Arabidopsis thaliana: one gene and its partners. The protein of the gene in region 3 purifies or fractionates together with the protein of the main gene of each other region. This does not show direct contact. Each region holds a gene or a part of one and is shown on either strand. Other genes may lie near its edges.

Region 1 (3,756 bases), on a different chromosome or scaffold from region 3:
TGTATTAAACTATTGGTAATAGATCCTACCAAATCTAAAAGAATTAGGTTTATTTTGAGAAAACTACATAGATTTCTTGTAATATTTATTTTAGACCTAAAACATGTGTTCATGCCAATGTTAACTATACATAGAATTACTTTTTTTGTCAACCTATATATCATATATAATACTTAGTGACTGCAGGAATATCATTCTAGTATTAATTCAGAGAGTCGAAATTTTCAATTACCACAATTGTTTAGAAACCAAGACAACCTACAAAGTCTTCAAAGATCTTAAACAAGTATGACAATTCTAGACGAGAGAAGAAGAAATCACGAAGAAACACACTACTTCGAATAAAGTAGATAAAGAGGACAAAATGATAATTAAGCACAAATCACTGGTCTCCAGGAAGCGACTTGATGATGTCAGAGTCACCTGAAAATATTGCATAAGTAAACAAACCAAGATTAACATTGCATGTGTAAGATGATTATTCTAAAAGACAATGAATGAGTGTGTTACCTGGGTCAACTATGCTGAGGCATGACACACGGAAGTATTTACCGCAGGCAGTACCAAGATCAACATTGTCTAAAAGGAACAAGTACAAAAAAAAAAAATCAGGCAATAAAATAACATAGTTGCAGAGACTCATCAAAAATAAACAGTTTCTGTAGTCTTAAGTAACATAATCAAGGTTTACAAGACTCTCAAAGAAAAAAGCAAGTAAGGAACAACTTCTGAATCACTGGTTCTCACTGAAATTGGTCGCTAATACCAGAAAACATAAAACAAACAATCACTGGTGCAGGAGGAAACTGATATGATATAAGTGAGTTCAGGCTTTTACACCATTTAGTCCTTACATTAAAACAACTACAAGGATCACCCTAATGGATTTGTAAGATGCAAAATTACACACTCTATCTACACAATCCAACATATACAAGACTTTCAGGAACATATCATTTAAGTATTAAGTGCATTCCTATTGGGGAAGTGCAAACAGTGTAAAGAATTGGTCACTAATACCACATACACACAGAACAATCATAGACCATAAAGGAAACTAATACAATGACACCAAACTGTTTCTACTAAATAATTTGCAACACTACACTCTCTATCTATACAATACGTACACAAACTTGGGAACAGATCAATTCAGTATTGGAGCATTTCAAATGGTGAATGAGAAGAGCTTCACTGTCAAATCCCACAGAATAATTTGCATTTCCACAACTATTTCTACTAAACAATCCTAACTACATTCAAACAAAACTGTTGTACAATGATACTAAACCAGTAAGGACAAATGTATAGTCTTTGTTCATGAAAAGAACTTACTTCTATTGTAGTGATGAACTCCAACTTTAGCAAGCATAGCATAGTACTCAATCTCAGATCTCCTCAATGGTGGGCAATTGCTAGATATCAATATCAACTTACCTACAACACAATCAAACAACAACATTCAAAAACCAATAGCTTATGAATCAATAAGCTAACAGAGAAGTTTGTTTCTAATACCTTTGGAACTGCGAAGAGATTTGAGAACAGATTTGTAACCAAGAGTGTATTTGCCACTCTTCATCACCAAAGCCAATCTGCTGTTGATTCCTTCATGGGACTTCTTCTGCAAGAAATGGATTCAACAAAAAATCAGTACACTCAAAAATTTCATGGATTGTGGAATTAGATCAGAGAAAAATCATACCGTCTTCTTCGCTGCAACCATCTTCGCCGGATTTTGACTGATAAGATTGAGAGAAATGAAACCGGAGAATCAGAAATCGGTGAGGGTGGAAGAGAGGAATTGTGTGAAAGAGATCGGAGATTTTTTTTACCTTCGTTGCCTTTTAGGGTTTGGGTGGCGCAAAATGAAAAGTGAGAAGTAGAGAAGAGAGACTAAAGGAACCTTTTAGGGGTTTTGAGAGATTCACTAATTAGGCTTAGGAAATTGGGCTTTAACGGACTCTTTCTTTATATTTTGCGTAGAAATATATATATCTTTTTTTCAAATTCAGTAAAATTTAGTTTTAATTCTTCAGTTTATTATCAATGACTATGAGTATGAAATGGACCACTATAAACATAGTTATTTTCGTATTTTTAAATTAATTTTTATTATTATGTAAAATATTATTTAGTCCAATATTATTAAAGAAATTTGGTCAATTTTACCACTTTTAACCAAAATGTTTTTATTTCTAAAGTTATTTACAAAAAAGTACTAAAATAATTGTGCCTTTCGGAAATAGGCACTCCAACTTATGTCTTTCGGATTTGAGTATTTCTCTCTTTGTAAATTACTCTTTCATCTCTCTCGCTATCATCATTCACACTGTTCCTCAATATGTCTCTCACCTGCTTTTGTGCTGTCTACGAATAAAAATCTCCACCCTAAACCTACTTCTTCACTTATTTCCTACCATAGCTCTCTGATTTCTTCATTCGATTGCAAACGCAATTACCCACCCCAGTTCTTGTCCAATGCGTGCCATTTTTTCTCTACACCATCGCCATTGTTCTTATTTCTGGCCTCCATCAGGTGATCTTGGTTTTAATCGACTTCGATGGTGACAACAAGGAGTTACCGGCGTTAGAATTCTAACTCGCGTTCCTTCCCACCCTCCGTCAAGCGAGTCAAACCCTACTTCTCTTGGAAACTTCTGCCAACTTCTACTCCTTCTCGAGGGCGTCGTAGTACTTGAAAGGGGGACACAGCTGTACAGTTGTTGATCCAGCGAAATTCGCAAATTCTGCTTCGGATCTCGACGCAGAAGATCTCAGTTGCAGGTATTGCCTCGGATACATCCTTCTCCTACTACTAATTTTGTTCATCTCCCGTTTGTCAATTTTGCAAACATTGCGATTTTTCTATAATTTGGCACAACAATTATGTTGCCTCTAGTATTTCTGATTGCATCTCCTATTATTAGTGGGACTCAATTACATCCCCATTCCTTCAAATTTGTTACTTCTTACCACTTTAATTTGCCTACATATTCTAACAGCTAATTTAACTAGTTATGCGTAATGGTGTTCTTTACAATCTAACGTGATATTGAAAATATTCTTCTTGTGTTACTAAAGTTTCCTTTATTGTGCCCTCATCCATTCCAGTAACTCCAACTGCAACAGAGATGTTTCTGTTTCACATGAGATAAGTGTTGATAGTGATGTGTCGTCTGAAGGTTAGGTGTGACAAATTTGGGGTATGTACACAATTTGCTTGAAAAGTTTTATATATGATGTGTGTTCTTGCAGCTCCGTCTGATGGTGATCCCAATCTTACCTCATCTAATGTAGATGCCATATCTGAAAATGGACATCGTTCTTCTGAAGGTTATAAACCTTGCTTTATTGTTGTTTCCTCTTCACGTTGTTTGCATTATATCAATATTTCTATTTATTTGTTCCTTCTCGTAGCAACAACAAACATCTCTAGCCCGCTGACCTCATCTAGTCAAGGTGGTTCTGTTGGAAACGGAGATGATCGGAGTGAAGCTGCCATGAGGGCTGACAGATATATTTTATCATCAGACGGTTAGAACCAGCATTTAGTGAATGATGTGCCTAATTTTGTCGGCTGCTTAACATGTCTTTGGGCTAATGTTTGTCATTTTAATGTCTTTATTTGCAGGCCCAACGCAGCATATCAACGGTCTAAGCTCATATAATGACGGTTTAACTGATAGAAATGTAGATGAGAAGTGTGAAGGTGACAAAAGTGTTGATAGAGATGTTTCTTTGTTTGAAGATGCG
Region 2 (3,372 bases), on a different chromosome or scaffold from region 3:
GGTAAGATTCTCCAACAATCATGAAGGCATCACTCAGCTTTTCCTTGTCACAGAGTTCATCTGATATTTTCTTCTTCCTTTTTGAATATTGAAGATGCTAAGACATTCAAAGAAGAAATAGCAACCCTTTAGTTGCATGCAAACTTCAAATGGCAGCCTCCTACTTAACTTTCAAAACTATATCACAAGTCATTGAAACAGTGATGCAGAGACTTGGATCACTCAGTATCCGTATGATACAGAATAATCATCGTTTTGCCACATAATAACTTTACTTTGCAAGTTCAGAACAAAGATATTATCCCAGCATTCAAAAGATAGGTTTTCTTGAGAGAACAAGAATCATGTAATTCTTTGATAATATAGTCTTCCTGACTGATCTGAAAAGACAGTGTCAATAGCAGAAGTTCACAAAACTTAAATCAAATCTAAGAAAATAGCATATTTTTCCTACTCCATACTACCTGATGAAATCTCACAATGCTTATTCATCATTAAAAACCCCTACGATGGACAACTTTAACTTCTGGAAACTTTTCAAATAAATGCGAACATGGGGTGGAGTGATAGGACTAAAAAGGAAGGAGTGTTTAAGTTATAAAACTCACCTTCAGCCATGCGAATACCATGCTAGATTTATCAATAAGACTTCCAAGACAAGCATTTACTTGGAGCATAGACTTTCGTTCCTCCGAAGTGCCTTTGGCATCAGTCATTTCTGCAGACAACTTCTTAAGCATAAGCTCTTCTTCTCTCAATTCTTCCATAACTTTCATGGATTTCTTGACTATCTTGGTATTATGCTCTATCTGTTCAACCAATGCACTCTCGTCTTGCATAGATTTCGCTAGACTAGAAGCTTTACCATAACATAAAAGAGCATCAATGTACTTTTGGGTCTTGTTGTGTAATTCAGCGAGATTGATATACCCCTTCGCTTCTCCTTGGACATGATTAATCTTATGACAGATATTAATATCCATCTCAATGTGTTTCTTTGCTTCATCCCAACTTCTCAGCGCCATAAAAACGTTTCCAAGGTTATGATGAAGCCTACTCCGAGCAGCATCATACTCTCTCACCTCCTCTTCATCGCAAATCTGCAGCCCTTTCTTAAGAATAGTACGGGCTGCTTCAGGATTATCAAGATCAAGGTCAAGCATACCGATGTTGTTATGTGCGTTAATATACTCCTCAAGGAATCCGCTAGATTCTCCAGGAGGTGGTTTCTCCTTGAGAATCTGTGCAAGTTCCATGGCTTTCTTAAAGTACTTTTTAGCACTCTGAATGGCTTCACAATCATCCTCAGACTTCAAGAACATTTCATGGTAAGTACGTCCAAGTTGAGTACATGCTCTTTGCTTCTCCACAGTGTCATTAGCTTCTTCAGCTAGCTGTAAATGCTTCTTCTGCAACCACCAGAAAAAAACACAAATTCAAAATGAAAAACTCAAACACCAAAATTATTCACGGAAAATTCAGGAAGCCAACAATAACCAAGTAGGAAAAAGCAATTGATTCAAGAGGGCTTACCTGATAAATCAAGGCTTCTTCGAAATTTTCGAGGCGGAGATAGATCTCGCCAAGAGACTGACAAGTAGGTAACAAATCTTTCCCAGGTAAATACTTGACGGAGATATCGTAATCAATCCTAAACCACTTGAGAGCATCAACGTACTCTCCATGATTCTTAAGGATATCGCCGACATTGTTAGCCCACCTCGCCTGTTCTCTCCGGTCACCCACTTCTTCTGCTTTCCGGTACGCTCTCTTCGCCGCAGCTACATCTAATCGACCCATCGGATGATGATTTCTCCGTTCTTCAATTGAAAGGTTTTTGTTTTCTTCCTTCCGATTTTCAGATTTCTCGAAATTTCTTTCTCAGTGATTTTGATTTTCTCATTTTCTCCAGTCGCCAAATTTTTGGTCCCATCCCAAACTATCCCGCCAAAATTCAAGGGTAAATTAGAAATTTTCATACCCTAAATCCTGAAGTTATAGGCCTTTTAGTTTGGGCCTTGGGTCGAGTTTATTTTGGGCTTCTTATATCCTCCTGTCTCCTGACAAGAAAACAAAAAAACCCTAAGGGTTCTAAGGCACTCGCTATATAAACTATCATTTTGCGCCGCCCGAACCCGAAGAAGAACTCTCTCTTGTAAACCTGCGATCTGAATCTTCCCGGCGGTGAAAAATGGTTGCGGAGAAGAAGGCGAAGAAGTCCCATGAAGGAATCAACAGCAGATTAGCTCTTGTGATGAAGAGTGGAAAGTACACTCTTGGATACAAGTCTGTTCTCAAATCCCTTCGCAGCTCCAAAGGTAAAAATTTAAAATCCCTCTTCATCGATTGATTATAGTGTTCGTCTTCCTCGTAATTTAGTTGAATAATTGTTGGATATTGTTGGGGGGTTTAGGTAAGCTGATATTGATATCTAGCAATTGCCCACCGTTGAGAAGGTCAGAGATTGAATACTATGCGATGCTTGCTAAAGTTGGAGTTCATCGCTACAATGGCAACAATGTTGATTTGGGTACTGCTTGTGGTAAATACTTCCGAGTTTCTTGCCTCAGCATCGTTGATCCTGGTGATTCCGACATCATCAAGACACTTCCTGGAGATCAGTGATTCTGATTTTGATGATTTTGCCATGTTGTTCTCTATGCTTGATTATGCTTTGTGTTCTTCAAAGACTTAATGTTAGATTTCTTTGGTTTCCCGACTTCCTCTTAATGGTTATAATTAATTACTACATTTTCGTCTCTGTTGATTGATTCCTTACACGAAAAGGCTTGATTACTTTTATTACAATAGTTGGCTATTAACTAATTACATGTTCAATTTATACAAAATCATATATAATGGACAATCTCTTAGAACATTTTAACAGGAACCATTTTTTATGTTCTAACTTGTAACAACCAACCAAATTAAATCTCAATTAATCAAATAGAAACCCTTCATCTTTCTACACTTCTCCTCCAACCAACAAATTAAACAAAAGAGATTAAAAACACAAAAGCTCTTCATCAGTATCAACGTTTTCTTTGAGCTTTTTTGGCTATTACTTTAACTTCATCAGAGACAACTTTTTCTTCGTCTCCATAATGGCCTCTTCTCTTTTCGTTGCTATCTCTTTCATATCTTCCTGATACTTAGCTTCTATCTCCTCCAGCTCTTGTCTTAACCTTTCTTCTTCCTCCAAACTTACTGGTTCGGTTGCTTCTTCTACTTCTTGAATGGAGCTCTTGTCTTCTCCTTTGGTGGCATCGACGCATTGCTTATCTTCCTCATCTGATCGTGGGCAATCTGAGTTACACGAGTGACTAACCAACTCACAAGTATCATGAAAAACAGTCTCCTCTTGTTTCTGTG
Region 3 (3,756 bases):
AGACCAGGTAATGCAATTTAGTCAAAAACCAAAGATCACATACCGCCAAACTGGATGAAAATTTCTGCCACTTGGTAGATGCGGAAGTAAGAGAAGCGGGATTACAGAAATACTCCTGGAAACGAAACAATTTTCTCAGTAAGAAAAGAACTATCTCAATAAACTAACTAACAAAAGGAAATTTGAGATGCTATCTCCAGTAATGTTGATTTTGCATGATATGCAAACAGAGGTTCTATGAGACAACCCTTATGATAAAGGCATAACATTCGTTCCCTACAAAGTTCCTTTAACTAATACGCACCTGTAAACTCCAAAATGTCTTGTAGAAGTTGAAATCTACAGAAATGCCTGAGAAGCAATGACATAGACAGAATAAGTAACACGTTTTAGAATTGTCATATGGAGATAAGGACCAAAAGCATAAGAAAAAAAAAAATCACTTGCCTTTTGGAGGATCTTTTTCATATTTGGTTTCATTAGATGTATTAAAAACACCTTTTATATTGACGGCTGAAAGAATAAGTCACGCAAGTAAACGTTACACACCTTTTAAACATTCACATACCAAATAATCGTATATGCACGAGAAACCCTTCTTACCTGAGCGCTCAGATAACGGAAAAAAGTGAGCCAAAAACATAAGAATCCTTCCACAGAATACAACATCATTGGCCTGTATGCCAAATAGTGAAAGCAAAAAAAAGAATTAAAAAAGAGTGGATGTGTTATATATGAAAAAGTAGATTATGACTTATGGATATTTGACAAAGGGAACTAGAAAAGGGTGCAGATAGCGAACCTTTGAGAGTCGGCGGAGAAGTTGGTTGCAAGTCCTCAACATGACAAGTTTTCCGCGTGCAAAAAGCTCTTGCTGCAAATAATTGCAACATCCAAGTCAAAATACAAGATACAACTAACCGAGAAAAAATTTGATTTCGTTTAAGAAATACCTTGCCCAATATATCTTGTTTGCTTTCAATATAACCGAAAACATCTTTACAGTTTTTCATAGTAGACATTTCGGTCAAATCCTCCAGCAGCTGGAATATCATGCCACCTTCTACATGCTCTTTCTCACAAAGATAAAGCACAACATCTAACAAAGCAATCAAAACATGAAGATGGTGAGAGGTTAGACAAAAGTAGTGAGGACAAGATGATAAGCAATAGACAACAAGAGAATAAGAAGTTTTACGGGGACAACGCTAGCACTTGTTTGAACGAACTATGCAAATCAGACTAGAGAGATTGCTAACCTAGAAGATGAGGAATCTGTCCATGTATATCATCATCATCATCATCATCGTCAATCAACTGACCATACTGCATAATTTGCTCCCCTGATTGCGCAGCAGCAGCCTGAAACCCCGAAAACAGAAAGAGAAATCCACACATATATAAATGAACAAGTATATACGCATACCACGAAAATATAATAGTGGAGAAAGAAGAGACCACTAGCTCCTGCAGCAATGTCCGGAGCATGTTTTCAAGCATTTGGTTTTCATCTTGAGCCAACTTTGTTTGTTTCTGTCAAATTTTACAATAAAGACAATAAGTAAGACTAAAGGAGTGAAGAAATTGTTAGTTGATTCGAAAGAGTTACCTGAGGTTGTATAAAGTGTTGAACAGTCTTGAGTGCAAAGGTTTCAATTGGAGCTCGCTGCAATATAGCATCTCTAAATGCATCCTGCGAAGAACCACAAATTGCAGAAAACAAGTTTTTATAAGCTATATAGATTTAACAAGAAGCAAAAGAAAACAAGTCTCATAATCCCAAAAGAGTTACCATTATTTCTCAATGAACCAGCTTCCACTGCAATGAAGAGGAATTTACCGACGACACCAAAACCGGATATGCCGGTCAAAATTCACGGACTATGAGTCGCCGGATTTTAAAAGTTGATTAAGAAGAATTGAATAAAAATCTGGAAACGGAGGCCAAACTTGAAGAAGAGTGGAGGAAGAACAATTTTAATTTAGGGTGGATCCGGATCCGGAAGATATCCTCCCAACAATCAAATTATCCGCAAATATCCGGGCTTGGATCTGGATCCGAAATATTTTTAATTTATAAACTGAATAACAACATGTTCATTGGGCCTTTCATAGTAAAATGATATCCGTTGGGTGGTGGGCTTCACATTATTTAGTTTTACAGAAGACCTTTGCCTGTATATGTTGGATATGGCGTAGTTTTAATGTGTGGAATCAAATCAATTAGAAATTTAAAACATCTGTATTCAAAAATTGCTCGAAATTGTTCATGGTATGTTATTGCAGAAGAAATCATAATAGCTCACATGAGAAGGATTTGAAGATTTCAAAAATTGCTCGAAATTGTTCGAGATAAATATTAGGTTCCAATAATTGCATAAAAGACATTGTATTCATAATCTACACTCAACAAGTGATAAATAAACATTACTTCCTAACAAAGTAAACTTTGATGGATCGAACACCTCCTTCAACACCTAAAAACTCGGATGTGATCTTCTCTTTGGGGGTTTTGATTGTACCGTCGACGTAAATTCACTAAACGATTAGTGAGTGGCAGTGGCTCATGAGATGAAAGTCATGAAACAAACACTTTGAGACCAAATGAAAATATTGATTTGACATATTGGGTCCACTTGCTATAGGGCCAAAAATTTAGAGGCCCAATAACCAAAAAAGTCGAAACATGTAAAATGTTTCTCGTCACTTGAAGAAAAACTAAAAAAAGTAAACGCCATTATTGAAAGAAAAACACTCACATCTCTCTCTCTCTCTCTCTAGAGCTGTTCATCTCCCCAACCACAACAAACCAACTTGCTTAGCTTTGCTCTGTCCAGGGCAAAGAGCATCATCCCTCAATAAAGCAATTCCCATTTTCTTCTTTTACTTTTGTCCTAAAACTGTTAATTGATTCTGTCTGAATATTATTTTTATTAACGGACCAAACAAAAAAAAACTTGCAGAAGAATGAAAGAAAAAGCAATAACCCTCCAAACCAAATTCTAAAGCCTCAAATTTGGAATATTCCCTTTCTTCTTCATTCCCTTTTTTTTTTTTAATTTGCCATTTACTCATTATTGATCTTATGTGAGACGACCTCCTCTGTTTCTTTCTTCCTCGTAACAGTAAAGGGTCTTCCTTTTTAATCTGAATTTACCAATCTGATTCTTCTGTTTTTTGTTTTTTTTATTTGTCTATCTTTTAAACTATTTGAAATCTAAACTTTGTTTGGTTCTTCACGATTTTTAATCTCCGATGAATCAAATTCATCAAAAGATTCATCTTTTAGATCTGGTTACGTAATTCGATTTGCTCTGTTTTTTGTTTTTCGTTTTGAATTCTTTATTAAGTAACCAAATTTGGGGAAGAAGGAGGAGTGTGGGTGATAATGGATTTGGATGATTTCCGATCGGTTATGGATAACGCAGGTGTTGATGTTTGGACATTTATCGATACGGCGATTCTTGTTGCGTCTCTTGACTATGGTCAAGAACTGAAACGTCGGAGAGATAACATCGTCGAGCGTCTCTACGCTACGTCGATGGCTAACAAGTGTAGAAACTGCGATTTTGGCGGCGGTGGTAACGTTACGGAGGCGGCGATTGGTAGGGTTAATAATGGGAGGGTTCACGAGGAGACGGAGGAGGAAGATGAAGAAGGAGTAACAGCAGCAGCAGAAGAAGAAGTTAGAGAGAAATCTGTTAATGTTGAAGACGATGACGATTTCGATCCCTTTGCTGGTTTGTTTGATGATGA

Evidence for each region.
Region 1: the proteins of THO1 (region 3) and AT1G36240 fractionate together in Arabidopsis thaliana (co-fractionation; one large-scale study listed by BioGRID). This does not show direct contact.
Region 2: the proteins of THO1 (region 3) and RLK902 fractionate together in Arabidopsis thaliana (co-fractionation; one large-scale study listed by BioGRID). This does not show direct contact.

Annotation. Positions count from the first base shown.
Region 1 is NC_003070.9:13,612,860-13,616,615, reverse strand, and holds AT1G36240 (Ribosomal protein L7Ae/L30e/S12e/Gadd45 family protein), read right to left. Parts: upstream 1,727-3,756; coding exon 1,706-1,726; intron 1,625-1,705; coding exon 1,519-1,624; intron 1,438-1,518; coding exon 1,336-1,437; intron 580-1,335; coding exon 511-579; intron 424-510; coding exon 383-423; downstream 1-382. Other genes in the region: AT1G36230 (uncharacterized protein), read left to right, coding at 2,565-2,589, 2,706-2,787, 3,115-3,185, 3,259-3,336, 3,421-3,537, 3,635-3,755.
Region 2 is NC_003074.8:6,451,246-6,454,617, forward strand, and holds RLK902 (Ribosomal protein L7Ae/L30e/S12e/Gadd45 family protein), read left to right. Parts: upstream 1-2,057; 5' UTR 2,058-2,191; coding exon 2,192-2,318; intron 2,319-2,413; coding exon 2,414-2,625; 3' UTR 2,626-2,773; downstream 2,774-3,372. Other genes in the region: TSK (tetratricopeptide repeat (TPR)-containing protein), read right to left, coding at 1-97, 609-1,409, 1,534-1,800; WNK6 (with no lysine (K) kinase 6), read right to left, coding at 3,062-3,372.
Region 3 is NC_003076.8:3,064,854-3,068,609, reverse strand, and holds the start of THO1 (nuclear matrix protein-like protein), read right to left. Parts: upstream 2,033-3,756; 5' UTR 1,796-2,032; coding exon 1,793-1,795; intron 1,694-1,792; coding exon 1,610-1,693; intron 1,534-1,609; coding exon 1,459-1,533; intron 1,363-1,458; coding exon 1,260-1,362; intron 1,100-1,259; coding exon 954-1,099; intron 875-953; coding exon 803-874; intron 677-802; coding exon 604-676; intron 514-603; coding exon 448-513; intron 352-447; coding exon 305-351; intron 116-304; coding exon 44-115; intron 1-43. Other genes in the region: AT5G09850 (Transcription elongation factor (TFIIS) family protein), read left to right, coding at 3,389-3,756. UniProt on the Arabidopsis thaliana protein: Acts as a component of the THO subcomplex of the TREX complex which is thought to couple mRNA transcription, processing and nuclear export. Contributes to the integrity of the endogenous trans-acting small interfering RNA (ta-siRNA) pathway.